Drosophila melanogaster: one gene and its partners. The gene in region 2 interacts genetically with the main gene of each other region. Each region holds a gene or a part of one and is shown on either strand. Other genes may lie near its edges.

What was found. A genetic interaction does not mean that the proteins touch.
Region 1: of Cad99C (region 2) and AdamTS-A, changing one suppresses a phenotype caused by changing the other (phenotypic suppression), as found in Drosophila melanogaster (one study listed by BioGRID).
Region 3: of Cad99C (region 2) and sas, changing one suppresses a phenotype caused by changing the other (phenotypic suppression), as found in Drosophila melanogaster (one study listed by BioGRID).

The regions. Positions count from the first base shown.
Region 1 is NT_033777.3:15,472,914-15,478,734, forward strand, and holds the start of AdamTS-A (ADAM metallopeptidase with thrombospondin type 1 motif A), read right to left. Parts: upstream 3,281-5,821; 5' UTR 2,376-3,280; coding exon 1,974-2,375; intron 1-1,973.
Region 2 is NT_033777.3:29,839,744-29,845,160, reverse strand, and holds the start of Cad99C (cadherin 99C), read right to left. Parts: upstream 3,505-5,417; 5' UTR 3,371-3,504; intron 2,437-3,370; exon of another isoform or gene 2,288-2,436; intron 1-2,287. UniProt on the Drosophila melanogaster protein: Cadherin that functions in epithelial morphogenesis and the intestine epithelial immune response. Essential for female fertility. Regulates the length and organization of apical microvilli in developing follicle cells and salivary glands.
Region 3 is NT_033777.3:7,160,569-7,166,087, reverse strand, and holds the start of sas (stranded at second), read right to left. Parts: upstream 3,281-5,519; 5' UTR 3,048-3,280; intron 1,967-3,047; 5' UTR 1,729-1,966; intron 1,660-1,728; 5' UTR 1,568-1,659; coding exon 1,228-1,567; intron 1-1,227.

The DNA of each region.
Region 1 (5,821 bases), about 14 Mb from region 2:
TAATGCGTTCTAATTCGGTACACACCAAATTTGTGATTTGACATTCGATTTTAATTTGTTCAAACTCTGCAAATAATTACTGCAAGGGTGTATAAGTTTCGGTTTTCCGAAACTAGCATATTTTTTTGTTTTTATTTAAAGTAGACGAAATAAATTGAAAAAAGAGAACAGAGAAACACGCGCAAAGCGACGACGTACGACTCAAAAAAAAAAACTAAATAAATAAATAAAAAAAAAAGACAAAACGCGAAACAGAAACAAAAAGCAAGAAAATAAATATTCAAATTCTACACATTGTGAAAATTTTATTGTCGAAATACAAATTGGACGGCGCAGCCTTACTTACATGCATGTATTTCCCGACTTCTCAGATTCTAGGCGCCACGCGAAAAACTAGAAAATCTATTTTCGAAACATTCACAACAGCGAGTGAATCGAGTCGCACCGCACTGAATATGTCACAATTACTCATGTGCTTCTAAAATGCCAAGCGATGTGCATACGAGTTTATACATACAACCCAAATAGACAGTACATCCTATTCCCATTCGATCCCGAGGGGGTTACGTTGCCACACATGGCCCGTTATCAGTGGCAGTTGGGCCTACAGACTTCACCACTCGCGCACCCAACATTATTATGCATTATTATGTATTCATGGACCGGGGGATCGTGTCGTTTTTCACATTTTACATTGCCCGCCAGGCGGACGTTGATAAAATTCTAATGGCCTGTAAGCCAGCTAGCCAGTTAGCCAGTTAGCCAGCTTGCCAGTTAGCCAGTAAGCCGTGATTTAGGCATGTTTCCATTCACGTTGTTGTCACGTCCCGAAACAAACGCTTTTCACACCTTGTTGAGCTCTGTAAATCGTAGTTATGTGCTGTTTCCACCCAGGTCGTGTGTAACTGCAATACCATTTCCTTAAACCGAACTTGAAAATGTTTATCGAAATTTGCATCTTAATTCGTCGTCTGCCTCGCACTAATGGGCAAAAAAAAGTTCGTACCCAATCCTGTCTGGAATATGGAATATCAGTGACATCCAGACAGGGGCGTCTTTGTTCTTTATCTCTATTAGATATCTTTTATGTTCTTATCTCCTGTGGGACATGTGCTCCCGATGCTGCAGAATCTTTCGCTTTCCCGAAAATTGTTGCTGCAGAGCTAGAGCAAGATAGTGGCAACCTGGCGGAAACACACGTCCGACATACATCAGCAGACCCTGTGTGACGCAAATGGATGGATTATGAGTCAGCTAAAGAAGTGGGAGCTGCAAACCCAAACCAAAAGGAATAGTTTGATGACCAGATTGCTTGATATATGAATGCACTTCGTGGAGGCGCTCTGGCGCATTTGGATCGAAGTGCTTCGAACACGTTGCCATCTTCAGTCTGTTTGAAGCTGTCGAACGGTGAGGTTGCCGAGAATCCTATCGTGGATCCAACTTGGGATCCAGATTCACATTTCCGCTGCCGCGTGCGCGGTGCTTCGTGGCCAGTGAGGCGTGTGAATTCAAATGCGGTGGTCAACGCTTTGGTTGTCGCTTTCTTTGTGTCGCCAGTGGTATTTAATCAAAATCGAATAGAGAGCCAGAGTGGCGGCAAAAGCAACAAAACAAAAAAAAAAATGAAATGAAATGAAATGAAACGAAATAAAACAATGCGGCATACAAAACGAGACGAGCACACCAAAATATCGGCAAATCAACCGAAATTATAAAAGAAAGGAAAGAACTCGACACATTGATGTGGAATCAATGCAATAAATTAACTTAAATTTGGTTTTCGCTTGGCCAGCCGATTTCGATAAAGTAGAAAAAAAAGAGAGAGAGAGACAGAGACGAATACAAACACAAATAAATGAAAAATCGTTAAAATCCCGGTCTGCGAATTCGATCAGCCCACGAAATTCGATGCGGCGGACTAGGCCTCCAAAAATATTTATACTTATGTAGAGCTCGGATTTAGGACCTACCTGTCTGCCCAGCAGCGGACCCTTGCTGATGAAGTCCTTCTTGGCCGAGTAGAGCTCCGGCGGTGGTCCTTTCAGCGAATACCGCAGGCCGGACTCCCCAAGGTCGTCCGTCGTCCCACGCAGACAGCGCTCAAGGGCACGCTCATCCTCGTCGTCATCGGAGGCGGTGGCTGAGCAGGCGGATGATACGCAAGAGGAGGAGCACGCGAAGGAGGTACGATCCCGAGCACCGGGAGATTCGCAGACAGTGGTACTATTCGTGCCAGTGCTGTGACCAGAAGTTGTGGACCGCAGTGTGGTGCTGGGATACGCGAAGGCGGGCAGGTCCGACAGCAGGCGATGGCACTCGACCTCCTGGCCGCCGGCGGGCGATTTAAGTGAACCGGCATCCGGCATGGACATGGCGATGACCAGATAAGATAGCGATCTCCAATCTCAGAAATCCGAAATCCCAAATGGCACGTGCAAAAATGCGCGCGAAAGAGCAACAAAATCCACAGTATGCGTATATACGGCTATACGTATATCTTGTAGATATATGTATCTTTACACTTATGTTGGCTCTATGGCTCTTTGGCTCTTTGGCTTTTTGCTTATTTTGTTAATTGAAATGCGACAGTCTCGTTCCGTTGCCGTGGGCACCGCACCCGCCAAAAAATGCGAAAATACGAACGAACAGAAAGGCAAAGACTACGGCTCGTGGGTATTAAAACGACTCACACTTATGGCTGCGATTAGCTAGATAAACTACTTAGTACTGGAGCCATTGTACGATCTCATGATGAATCTTTTTGCCGAATCACAGAATTTATTCGCAGTTGCGGTTGGGTTTTGGCCAATGTTAAGCTTGAACTTCACACATCGCGCCGAATGCATTCACTTTCGAGCTGCACCATTAACTTGGCCACCGTTGGCATTCTGAGTTGCTGGCTTTCTTTTCGCTTTCGGCCAGCGGCTATTTTTGCAAACTTTTCGGTGGCGAAGGTTGTCCCACAACTGAGCACCATGTCAGAGTTCACAAGAACACGCCGATCGTTTGGCATCGGCATCGCTATCGCCATCTGGCCGACATGGCTGGTCAGGATACGGAATACACTGGCGCACTGGGATGAATACGTATTCAAATTCGAATTAGAAATCGCAACTGGATTAATATTACAAATGGAACTTTAGCAATTGTCTGATACTACCGCGCGCGCGCAAATAAATGAAACGGACGAGAACGAGCCGATGGACCAGACCAATGCTGCGAACCAGAGAATTTGTATCTGTATCTGGCGATGTTTCGTTTCGGCTCGCTTGAGTTCCCGCTGCGGACTGAACACTGCTCGCCGAACAGCAGTTGGTAGCGGACGTTCCGCCGTACCGCCAAGCAATCTGAGATCGCGAACATATATCGCTCCGAAAGCTAAAAGCGGTTCTCTCGCAGCTATATGCTGTACAACATACATACATACATATGTACATATGTATGTACATACTCGTATGTAGGCACGAGTATAGGGATATGGGTTTGCTGAATGGGCTTAGGATTTCGATTCCGAAGGAGTGTTTTAGAGAGATTAGAAATACGTCAGAATCATATCAGTACGCAGAACAGCCGGCTTCTCTGCGCAGAGAGCGCTGTGGCGAAAAGAGAGCCGAGCGCGGCTTAAAAGAGCACTCGAACGCTCTCTTAAGTGCGCCTCTGCTTACTCAATATTTTTGCACATGTGAGGATTAAGTGTGTGGACATAATTATCATCGGATAAGATAAGGTGTGTTAGCATAGTAACAATCTTTGCATCTAGAGTATCTGCCTTTTCGGATGAAATAATATAAATATTAAAAAAAAAAAAAATAGGCTTATGCTGCATGCTTTATTCAGTAATAGTTTTTAAAAGTAATCAAAATTTGTAAACATGTTCACACTTGTGTGATACCAACCAATTTGAGTAAGTATGTACTTGAGTAAATAATAAAACTCTTTTTACTTATGACTTATTTTACTAGCCTATGCATTACTAATCGCACCGAGCAGTACTAAAAACTTTGAATACGAATTCTTTTGAAATAGAGGATAAGACCCTGGGCATTACCAGTGGTGCACTTCCGGAAGAAGTCATTTCGGAAGAAAAAAAGGAAGTTGATGATCACAGAGAATGGTACAATGATGACTAGCTCATCAGTATCAAAAAAAATTCTTTTTTTGACGTAAATAAACTGACACGACAGCCTTTACTCAGAAATGCGACAAATATAAAGATATATCTAAATAATCTACACAAGCTGAACAAACATATCGTAATAGTTTAGATAGGCAAGTGTAACTGATTTGTCTCAAATTGGTATCATTATAAACAATACTTTATACTTTATACTTTATATTGTCTCATTTGGGCATAGAGTGTGCGACATCTGCCGGATCCCAGCCCATCCAATGTGGGTCAAGATCAATCTACTGATCGCGTCAGTGAATAAAAATAGTAGCCATTCGCTCCATTATTTGAACGCCGAGAACTCTTCCACATAAATGTCTTCTGTGCCAAATTACCATATGTAGCAATTGACCCTATTGTATACTAAATATTTTCTTTAATCAAACGCAGCAATAAGAATTAATCAATTAAAAGACCAGAGCTCGTTTGCCAAATTAAAGTATAGTTGGAAATTAAAAATCCATTTCGCCGCCGTGGAGGTCGGCGAAAATTTAAAAATATTCCAAAATACGATGATGCATATTCATATACTACGGATGTTGCGAGAATGGTGGACTAATGAAAAACATCTCAAAAGATTCCAGGAAGAGCGTTCTCCATGCAACCATGCAATCGGCAACAAAACGCTTGTTTTGTAATCAACAACAAACAGCCGGCATCCAAATGATGCCAACATAAAACAGCAGCCATAACAGAACATCTTACAAAATAGCCCTAAAAGTCTGGAGGGGGCAAGTGAGTTCCCCAAGAAGGCTGTTTGTATTACACCGAACTAATCATCATGCCCTGTAAGCAATGTTTACACAGCCACTAAACAAAATAAACGACTCCTAGCTGGAGTCTCTCCCCAAGTCACTAATAAATTGCTCAGTCTAGCAAATCGCATACTGATCTGTAGGAAAGCATACGTTCTAAATTAGGAAATATTGCTCAAAGAGGCGCCGCTGGTTTTCAGATGCTAATGATCGAGCCACTGGAGACCGCTGACCACAATGTATCTATCTGTCTATCCATTTTTGTATCTATGCTATCTGCTCCGATCGCATTGTATCATCCTAATAATTAACGCATTTAGATCATAAGGCGGGCAGATAGCCATAAACTTTTGTTTAGCTGTTGATGCTTATATGGCAACAGCATAGATGGACTGGCCCCAACTTGGATTTGGATAGAGAATCACTTTCAGGTGGATACCCAATCCAGACCCCTTGTCCTGGCATTTGTGCAACTTCGATCTGCACGCTGGCGGCCTTCGTGTGGATCGAAGATCAATAAGCGAGAGGCTGTGAAGAGCCCTAGACTACGGATCACTATCGAATTCGAAGTCTTCAGATGTTCGATGTCAGACTGACTGTCTGTTTATCCGTCCGTGCGTCCAACACGCGCAGGCCTCTTAGTCAATTGCGTCTGTCCGTATGTCTGTCCGTATGTATGTATAATAATGGGTGAGCATGTCTAATGCGTGAGCTGGTTCGGCATTTCTATATGTTTATGCTCTGCTCTGATAGTTCCATTCAGTCGCTTTTTTTTTGCGCTCACCCACACACTTGATTGATAAATATTGATCCTGATTGAATGATCGAAAGCTTGCGAAAACCCGAAACAGCCATTCCAGCGATCCGTTCGGACCCGAGATCCAATCCAATCGGC
Region 2 (5,417 bases):
TAAATTGGCTAATAAAGTGGCAAGCCAGCCCGCGGAGTACCCAGCGATCAGGTGCACATTCTGCCCATTTTTACCATTCTTCCCATTTCTATCGTCTTTCTCCCATTTCACTTATTTTGCCCATTTTGCCCACCTCATCTCATCGAGCGCCTAAATGGCCAGCTCGCCAACTGGCCGATCAACTTTTGCGGCTACGGCTGGCATACAGTTAGAACCAAGAGCTTGGGAGTTGGGAGCTGGGTGCTGGGAGTTGGCCATCCCATGCTGCGGCTTAGGTTTCTGCACATCCGTTGGCTTTCTAGCTTTCTGACTTTCTGCTCCATCTGCGATCTCCATTGAAGACTCGTTGGCACCAGGAGCCACTTGCATCGTATCCGTTACTCGGATCGTTTGTTTAATGAAACGGATCGGAGTTAATCTTCTGGTTTTCGCGCTCCCTCCTCGATCGCATCCATTGGATATAGATAGCACTGTCCAGAGCAGCCGGGTTCCGTTGTGCTGGTTAACCGAAACTCATAAAATAGGGGAATAAAGTGCGCGCTCTAATGAACAAAGCGAATTATTGAATTTCAACTATTGGCTGACAATTAAAATCCAAGCTGATGGATCTCTTATCCTTAGCCGCCACTGACAACTATTGTCTTCGATGGCCAATTGCAATTCGATTTACGCAATTAGCCAAATAAACCAATCAAAATACCCATGATTTCCCAACGATTTATTTAATTTCGCCAAAGTGTGCTGCAATCGCGAGTGGAATCAAACTTGTCTGCAAACGCAACTGCTGCTGAAATTATCTCCGAAATCATAAAAGCCCCGATCGCCCATTGCGTAACTTAAGTGCGAGATATCACATGGTATTGATATGGGGGCTTAAATGCTCCGTCGTGCCGTTCCTGCTTCCATTTGCGAGGAAATCGAGAAAATCGGGAAAATCGCGAAAAGCGCTGCAAGTCCTCCGCTTTCACTGGACGGTACACAAAATGCCATTTTCCATTTCCCCCGCATAAACAAAGGCGCGAAGCTGGAGGAGATCGGAGAAGGAGCAGGAGGAGCAGGAGCAGCCAGAGGAGGAGTTCGGCGGTGGCCACCACAGAAAGTCAGTTGCTGATTATGTTCAACCGGAAACTTATAGAAAAAGCCGAATGTGCCAAACTGGTTTGCAAAATAAACGAAAGCCGAGGTATCGCTTTGAATGCCTGTGTACTGTGTGTGTTGTGTGTGTTGTGTGTGTTGTGTGTGTTGTGTGCTGCTGGGTGCAGATTCGATATGCGGCAAACCTGTTGCTTATTGATGCTGTTTTTGCCAACATTTTCTAGTTTTGAATGTGGTACAATACGTAGCGAACTTAAATCTCAAATCTGCTGGAATGCGAACGATGGTTGCCACACAAATCTTAAATAAACAAGAAAGGAACGCCAGCATTTGGGCACCGAATGGCGGCATACCCTGGTCCACCTGGCCACTCGGCTCCCCTGGATGATCACTCGGATCACTTGGATCACCTGGATACATACATTCATGTATACACCATCGTTCTGTCAGCTCCAACTGCGATTGTTATGCTAATTCGCTGAGTGTTTTATTGTATTTTAATTTTATTGGACAGAGGACGCGCTCTTGGCCATACAAAGTATTTCTCCTCACGGATCCGTGAGATGTTTCATAATATATATCGAATTCTATCAGCATATAAAGTATCTCAATCTATGCCATTCATTTTGGCTGTCCATATATTTATGACTCCTGTGGGAGTAAATATATGATCGTCTTCAAAATGGCCATTTGTCGAGTTTAATGACTCAAAGTGCTTTAACATTCTAATCGTTCTAATGAACTCGACAAGTATCTTAGAGCCAATTTGCTGAGAATCATTTTTCCTGATGATTAATTTTAATGATTCGCCTTTTTATCGAGAACACGTCTAACGAAACTTAAGCAACTGCTGAGTAACATAAACATTCTACCATTATGATTGTCTTAATTGGCCAAAATAAGTTGAGTTTAGAATAATTAAAAACAAATCTTTGAATTTAGATGATGGCCAAAGACATTGAACTGCAAATTCTTGGGTGACAATAAAATTAATCGACCTGACTTTCCGCTGAAGAAAAAACGGTTAGGTGATTATGTTTTCTGCTTTATAAATGGCTTCTAGCCATTTAGCCAAATGAAGATTAATCTCCGCCGCCCGGAGAAAAGAACATTATTTCATCATTTTGCTTCTCCCCGCCTTTGGATGCTGAATAATTTAATAATAATAATACTAATAATACTCCGCACTTACCGTTTGGTCTAAAGATTAAATATTAAAGCAGCTCAAAGTATTTCAGCTGAGTATCCAACGTGAAAAATGGAGTCACACGCCGTTAACAAAGGTTATTCTTGGTCCTCAATTACATTTCGATTTACTATATTATTCAATAGATGTTGTATCTGCGCATTAAAAAACAGGGTTAAACTCGATTAAAAACACTCGCGACACAAATTTGAAGGTGTTGTAATACTTATTTTATGTATTTCTCTGTCATAAAATTCATATTGAATCCGAAGTTGATCATTTCGAAGTTGATGATCACCGGATCACCGGCTTGGAAGTGAGTTTTGCCGCACTGAAGTGAATTTTAATTACTGTTTGGAGGTTGCCCTCTTGGATTAATTATAAGCCATAATGTTTCGCGAAAAGCTGGCGAACAAAGCGGCGCGTGGGAGTTTGGTAGCATGTAGTAAAAGTAGCATGGCAAGTCGATGACTATCTACGTATGCCTGTACAGTGAACACGACTGTGTAAGTTTCTTACACAAATCTCGACATACGTGACCTCATTTGCCGTTTTTTTTTTGTTTTTTTTGGCTGTTTTATTGCTTGTTTCTTGGTTCTTGGCAAATGCCGCAGAAATCCCGGTCGATAAATGCGATTTGCTTAATACGGCGATCACGTTCACATTCCACATTAGTGTTCTATCCTTTGATATTCGGCAAAACGATGATGGTTTCGTTTGTTTTCTGTTTTCACTCCACTGTGAGTTGTGTTGGGTAAACAAAAAAACTGAAAAATTGGCAAGAGAAAGTCTTGCTCTCGGGGGTTAAAGTGGTGTGTACAAAGGTATGATTTTTAGATTTAATGATGGCGTGAAGGCTTTGTTTGCCTCTCGGGGCTTCTTTGTTATTTAAACGGAGCGCTATTTCGAGATATCTGCGTGGTATGCCCTTTTCAGGCTTCTATGGCTACAGCTTTAGGTTGCCTTGGATCCACCGGACACACCTCACACATCCACACATCACACGTCGCCACAAACGGACCATTCTGAACTTTACACATTTTCTTGAGAGATAACTCTTAAAAAATTAGCTCTTGGGCATATTCATACCAGCTCGAAAACCGGTATCGCGCCAGCCACCTTATAGCAATAGCGCTGCGTTGGGGCACAAGCTCATACTCGTCGTGCTACACTGCGCGAAAGTACGTGGTACGTGGTGTCGGCTCGGCGGTTGGATCGGTACTGTTTCGCTTTACCTGTCTCGCGCAGCAGCGGCAACAAGTGGGCGCTACCCGATCCAAGGTGGAACGTATTGGAATTGAGCTGGCATTCGCTCGCTTTGCGGTAAAACTGGTTTTTCGGGGGTTACTCGTTTGCCAGCTGATGGATACCACACCATACTCAAACACACACACACACACACACACACACATGCGAAAGGCTTCGGCTGTGGAGCACAGGTACTGCGATCCACGATCTGCAGGTGCATGTACATACACAGCTATGTACATATGTATATGTGTATGCTGCGCGGACAGAGAATCTCGAGCGGCTAACAGCGTCTGTTAAGTCAAAGGTAAATATGTAAGAGACCACCATGTTGCATTTTCATAGGAGTTGGAGCCGTGGATCGGGCTTAGAGTTAGCCAGCCAGGCCAGGAACCAGTTTTGGGGCTTCGGCTCGGCTTGTCGCTCGCTTTGTGTTTGCTTTTCTGTTTCAGCTGCACTGCAGCCGTTGCTGTGTAAGTTTTTATTAAAATGTTTTAGTCGATGTTGCCGCGATTTTGGCCGCTCACTCCACTCCACTGCAATCCACTGCAATCCACTGCAATGCAATGCAATCCGAGCTGCGATCCGGGGCATGAATGAAGTTCACCAAAGGGGCAGACAGCATTTTTGTACCTGTCAGGCGGGCAGGGAGTCGTCGCATATGCATATTCCGTTGCCATTGTACTGGGACAATGAGACAGTTGCACCCGGCTGGCTGGCAATCCGCGAAATTGGCATTGCCATCATGGGTAGGTGTTTCCATCGAACACCACCATCGAATACCACCATTTCCATTTCCAGCCGGATGCTGCCAGAACAATTGAGCCAATATCGTTATATTGGCATTGAAAGCTGCTCAGATCGATGGGATCAGCCAAATATGATAATTTGCGCAGATCTTGTTTCTCGAAATGTCAAAGCACCTAATTATAGCAAACATAGCATATTCATATGGCACACAAACTGTACGGTAAGATTAAGCCATGTGCTAAATGGCTATTAGCGGAGTATCTTCATGGTGCTAAACGCATGGGAGTCTGCCATCTTCATCACAACTGGCTGGAGGAGAAAGTGCAAGGGTTTTCAGCAGATGTACGTCATTAGCTCGTTTTACTGTTTGCTAACAAGCCAGTTGGCTGTTAGCTCCTCACCTGGCCAAATCCGCATCCCACTGGGTTGGGATTTAATTAAGGCTTAGCTTCTTTCGTTATTATAAAGAGGCAGTTTCTTGCTACATTTATTGGGGGTTCTTGGATTACCATAATGTCTGTGCTCTTCCGGCTTGGTCATCACTTTTACGATTCGAATGGCCCATTTTCGCGATAATTTGCCGATCGGCTTACATATGTCAAGTTCGAAAAAACAAAGTGCCAACTGTTTGAATTCGCTACTCTAACAGGAAGTTTTTGGATTATGAACAAGTTGGTTAGGAGGAGCTTGTAAGGTGTATTTCATTTTAGCCATTTATGCTGACATTTAACAAAAGTGTAGTTCAGTGACCCAAAGTTACACGCTGCTACTGGAGTTGTAGCCAAGACAGATTTGCTTGTGATTCTGCAAAATGTTTTTGGTAGTAGCAAGCTATATGCTGATATGCTCCATGAGTACCGGATATGAAGGTATCAAGCGAAATGTGTCAGCCAAAACTGTAAGGTTTCGCATTGACCATGCGCAAAAGCTCGAATTGCTGGTTGAGCCAGTTTAAAATCATTTTTGCCTTCCTGAGAATTTTCGATTGCACAAACGACAGGTGCAGCATAGGCAAAATAAATTGTGGTGCATAGCAAATATCGTTTCGAAAATGCTTTATTTCAGCCATATTACCAACAGACAGTTGCAGACTAGATTTTATTGGCTCCTGGCTTAACTTCTTTGAAGAAAAGTTAAG
Region 3 (5,519 bases), about 23 Mb from region 2:
AAGACATTCCGTGTTTCTGTACAAAGTTAACACCCAAAATTTAACAAAGTTAACTCCAAGATTATGGTACGGACTACGTAGGTTAAGGGCATGAGTCATGACAGTTGGCTGCTTTGCATTTAAATTGAGTAATTTGTGAAGGCTTACCTTACCACCATCCCAATGTTTGCTGTTAAATCTCATTAACTTCCCGTGGCATTTAGACCGGCTAAAAAAGGCCAGTCCCTTTTAAACAATGCATTCCCACTTGCCATGGCAACAACCTATGCTCAATCGATCTAGACCTGTGTGTGGCCTGCTAGACCTCGTTTTATCGAGTCATCAATGAATCTAGATGGAATAGTATCAAAACAATGAAAAACCAATTGAAGTTTTTACGACGGAGTGCTTGCCTCGTGAAGAGTTTGGTGTGCAACTGACATTAAGCCCAAACAACCTTCTAGATAATTATAAATCTGTTACAGCCAAGAACTCGGCAATGGAATTGCCCGATTAATCTATTTTGCAAAAGGTACGTGTGTGAAAGTTAATCATTCCATCTCAGGTGATCTGGTTAAACGAATTTCTCCAGTTATCCTAATAACCTAAATGTGAATGTGTTCATTCAACAGAATTACAAAAAAAAAAAAAAAAATCTAATCTGATTTATTATTTTTTATTTTATATTAAGTATCAATTGTATCGAAATAGAAGTATAATTCAATTTATCTTGAGTATCTTGGGTGTAGTACGAGTAGAATATATTAAGATTTAATTAAGTTCATTCACTTGTTCTAGCACGAATAATAATTTCTCGTATAATTGGTTTCCGAGATTGAGCTTGAGGGCCGGAAATTTTAATATTTTCCCTTTAATATGCCGCGTAATTAACTAAGTAATTCAACAGGAAACCGCTTATGTATATCTTCAAATATTCTTCCATCCATTAATAGTCAAACAATTTCTCTTGTTCGCTCCATTTAACCGAATCGGAAAATAATTATGGAGAAATGCCGTACAAATCGAAACGAAATGGGTAAAAAAAAGGGCGGACCAGAAGTCACGCACCGGCACGGCGTTAATTGGTGGCTCAGAGAACGAGATTTGATTACGGCGCAGAGAGCACAGCGCGGCTAGGCGGGATTAAAGTGTCTGGCCGGAGATCGGGATGAGATGCCCCAGCTATGCGAGCGTCGTCGCGTAGATGCCGTCTATCTATAATTTTCATGGCTTTCGGCTTGGACTCACCAGTTTCGGTCGCATTGGATTTGTTGGCCGCCTCAGTTGTTGTCGTCGTGGAAGTCGTTGAACCATCCGCCGCCTCGGTGGTTATGCTGCTGATGCTGCTGCTTTGTTCTGCGGCAGTTGTGGCTGGAGTGGTGGTGGCTGCAACGGCGTCTGGGGCATCTGTTGTGGTATCCAAAGGTGGCATCGTTGTGGCCGCTGCGTCTTCGCCTGCGGGCGCAGACGCCGCACGCTCAATTTGAATGCCAAGCAAAAGTAATCCGCAGAGAGTGGCCAGGCACATTCTACTCCACTTGATCGTGGATTGGCCGCCGGAGGCTTTTCTTCTTCTACACGTTTGCATTTTGGTTTATGTTTGTGCTCCGTCTTTTTGGCTTTTCCTCTTTGATTTTTCTCACACGTTTGCACTTGTTATTGTTAATTTATAGTAATCTGCTATAAATATGGAATTAAATAAATTACATGCACTTTTAAACGTTTCGAAGGGTCTCGATAACTCATTACCTACTTTTGTTCACTAGTTATTATTTAGTTTTCTCTTTTGGGGTGCGGGATTTTCTTATGCGGTTATTTTAGTTCACACGACATCTGTGGCAGCGGTTTCTGTTATTTGTCATTGACTCGCTTTGGTAACCCCAAATGCTGTCATTTCCGTTGAAAGTCGGTTGAATAACGATCTCTCAAGTGTCAACTCAAGTCTATATTTTGCCAGCCGATTTGTTGAGTGATTTGTTAGGTCGCCCTACGCGGAAATTGGAAAGTTGTTAGCTTGAAAATAGGGGTGGCTTACTCTTGACTCAATCAATCAAAAATAATATGTGAGTTAATTAAGCTACGAAATAAAAGTATTAGCTAATTTTTCCAAATACGCCGCATATCTAAAGCATTTCCTATGTCACACATTTATGTAATGACCAATTTAAGTGTGAAAGCGTAAACATCTTCGATGCCACTCACGCAAGTTCGTTTCCCAAGTCTTTTGTTTTATAAAGTTTCGCATAGTTTTGAATGTGTCCGAATTTTTGAAAACCTATGTAGATTTACGATACGTAAACCCTATTTAGCATATTTCATTTAGATTTACAACTTCTGTACCTAAGCCTAGAGCAGCTCATAAATATCTTTCATTTTTTTAAGACTACGCCGCCAGCACAATGTTTACTTCTCACCATTCAAATCAGAAACTAGGCAAATAAACCAGCTTGCCAAAAACAAAGGCTGCCAATTGGGCTCTAAAAAAAGATATACTGTTTATATGCAAGGCAGTCGATGCTCATGCAACTCGCTACAATGCAACGCCAGCAACAAAAAACCCTAGACCCAAATTGCGATAGCAAAATATTTCAACCGGTTCCAACGGCAGCAGCAGAAACTGCAACTGAAAACGGCTGCAGACCGCAGAATTTGCTGCACGCCTTTTTGGCCATATTGGTACGAAGGCAATTAGACAGCGTGCGGTTCTATTTATTCCATATCTGCTGGCAATTGTTAATATTTCTTTTGGCTAACATCTAGTGATGTCATTGTAAAAGTTGATAGCTATTTGCACTGACATTTCGCATTTCACATTTCACTCTCACTCCTTTTTTGTAGAAATGGCAAATGGCAGAAAGCAAACAGCGAACAAGCGATTCGGAGCTGGAGGGAGAAAACGTGTTTTCGGTATTTCCAATGGAATGTTTTCGGTCGTGGTTCTCTTTTCTTCTGCTGGGCCGTTTATTTCACTACCAGATCTTGTGTTTGTTTAATAAGAAAGCAAAGATTTGCATAAATCACAACCGCACACACACGCAGGCACGCTTAAAACGAAGATTAGCACCAACCCGGCGAGAAATAGGTATAGGTATTGGTATATATCTCCTCTTATCTGGCCACGTTTGTGGGCAGCGCGGTTTATATGTATATATAAATCGTTCGCAAAGTAATGCGATCGCACTCGGCCAACCGCTCCGTCTCAAGCACGACCACCAACTGATCTCTCCGGCGGCACGGATCTTGGCTGGTAGCGTTGCCAACTCACCACGGTCTGCATCTGCAGGCTGCCAACATGTAACTGGTTTGCTGTTGCTCTCCGGCCAACTCTTAGTTGGCTCTCATCTGGCTGGCTCCTTCTCGCGCGTCAGCTGAGCGCAACAGGTGAGACCGTGCACGTAATACATAATACCCATTACCATTACCCCGTGGTTGAATGCTCGCTCTCACCCACACTCAGGTGTGTCTAGGCTGTTGCTGTCTGCCAGTGTGGGTGTAGTGAGCGAAAGGCCCTCTCTAGAAGTCGTTGGATTCGAAACAAGACGACCATGATGCATACACAAGACTCAAAGACGGAGTTTTTTTTTTTCAATTTGGCAAGGCAACTGCAATAGTCGATTCCTTGACAAGTGAACTCAGCGCGATCTATTTGGACTGTCCAATTGGATGGCGAAAAACTCAATCCCATTGAAAAACCCAGGCCAAGCCGAGTTGGCATTCATCGTTCCGATTACGCCTACCTTCGGTTTCTTTCTTCCTCGACTTCTTTGTCTGACTTTTTGAAAGAGCACAAGCGTAGATTCGTATTAGCGGCCCTGCATCTCCATACTCGTAGATCCAGAGTGTTCATGAGTCAGGGATGCTTGGGGTCACAGCGGCACTAAGAGATTAATCCCATTTACAGCTTTCGTAAATATGATTAAATAAAGAAATTCTATGCTACTTCGAAAGAGTGAAATGATAAGTGATAAGGTGATACCTTATCACCCCTATTGTAGGGTACATTGAACACTCGTGAGTGATAAAAATGATTAGTATAAGGATAGCATTAGTACTATATTATATTATATTATGTGAAATAATTACTATAATCCCTAAATGTTTGGTGTTCTAATAATATTTAACCAATTACTTTGGGATAAGTAAAACTAGAGATAAGATAAGTACGCCGACGCTATTAAAACCCAAAAACTAGTCGAGGTCAAATCGGTTTCTATAGAGGAAAGTACGATATATGTATATATAACTACATAAAAGTTATTTTTACTGCGATACCCGAAATATTAAATAAAACTAGAAAGATTCATGAAATTCCAATATCTATTAGCAAACCCAAATAACCGCCATTCCGAAGGCCTTATCTGCGGAGCTGCTCCCAAATTCATAAATCCACCGATCACTGACTGATCCACCGCCATCAAATGCCATCGATGCAAATATCAATTCTCCACTTGGGATGCGAGACGCGCCCAGAAACCGTCATCACACATCAATGGCAGCAAGTTGGCCAACCGTCATTAAAAAGGAAATGTGTGTCTGAAGAACTCAAATCTAATCAAATCAAATCATATCCAACTCAACTCTCAACTCTCTGCTCGCAGACGTCAAAAAGTATCAAATGTGCACACAGTTTCTATGTTATTGGGGCTGCTCTTGTGGTTGCATACATTAACGTGCAAACATCAGAGAATAATGCAGAAATGCGCTTTTTTTGGTGTTGCACAAACACGGCCAAAGTTGCATTGTCTCCCTTTGTTTATACATACATATATTTTGTCTGGGGCTTATCGCACCGTCATTGAGAAGCCGCTAATGCTAATGCTAATAAAATACAGGCGAACATAAAAAGATAATAATAATAACAATGCAACTTCAGTTTATGCTCACAGTTTTTGAATGGAGCATTTCTCAATGTATGCAAAGGAAAAGAACGCTGCAAGAAAACGGAAACTACAAGTAGTGTCTTTTGCATAAAATGCACAACATATGAATACTAAAGCATTAGGAATTAAGAATTAAAAATTAAGAAATATAAATTAAGCAAAAGAAAAGAAGACTAGAAGTGTTGTAAAAAATTCCAAAGTTGCATACTACCAATGGGTCTTCCACTGATAGCCAATTATCTAGCTACCAAATGGCCACAGACCTAAGCACCCACTTCCTTGCATCGTTGGAATGGGACCTGGTAAACCTGATACTTGTGTGATTTGATTTACCCAATCGCATGCAATGCGATAGCGCAGACGAAGAGCAGCGAAAGTTGTTCAATAGTAATTGGCTTAATTATGAGTACAATCTACATAGAAACTCGAAATTAAATTCGAAATTAGCGAAAAGCCATATCCACATTATATAAAAACGCGAAAAATGAATTTTTCGGATGCCATTGCGAGGGGCCAAGTTTTCACAGTTCGTTTTTTCCACCTGCTGTTCGTTGGTAATGTCTTCATTCGTGGTGTTACACATCAAAAAAAGAAAAAATCTCATGATAAAAGTCGAAGAGAGTTGGCCAAACTAAGGCCATGAAACCAGACGAAATCTCT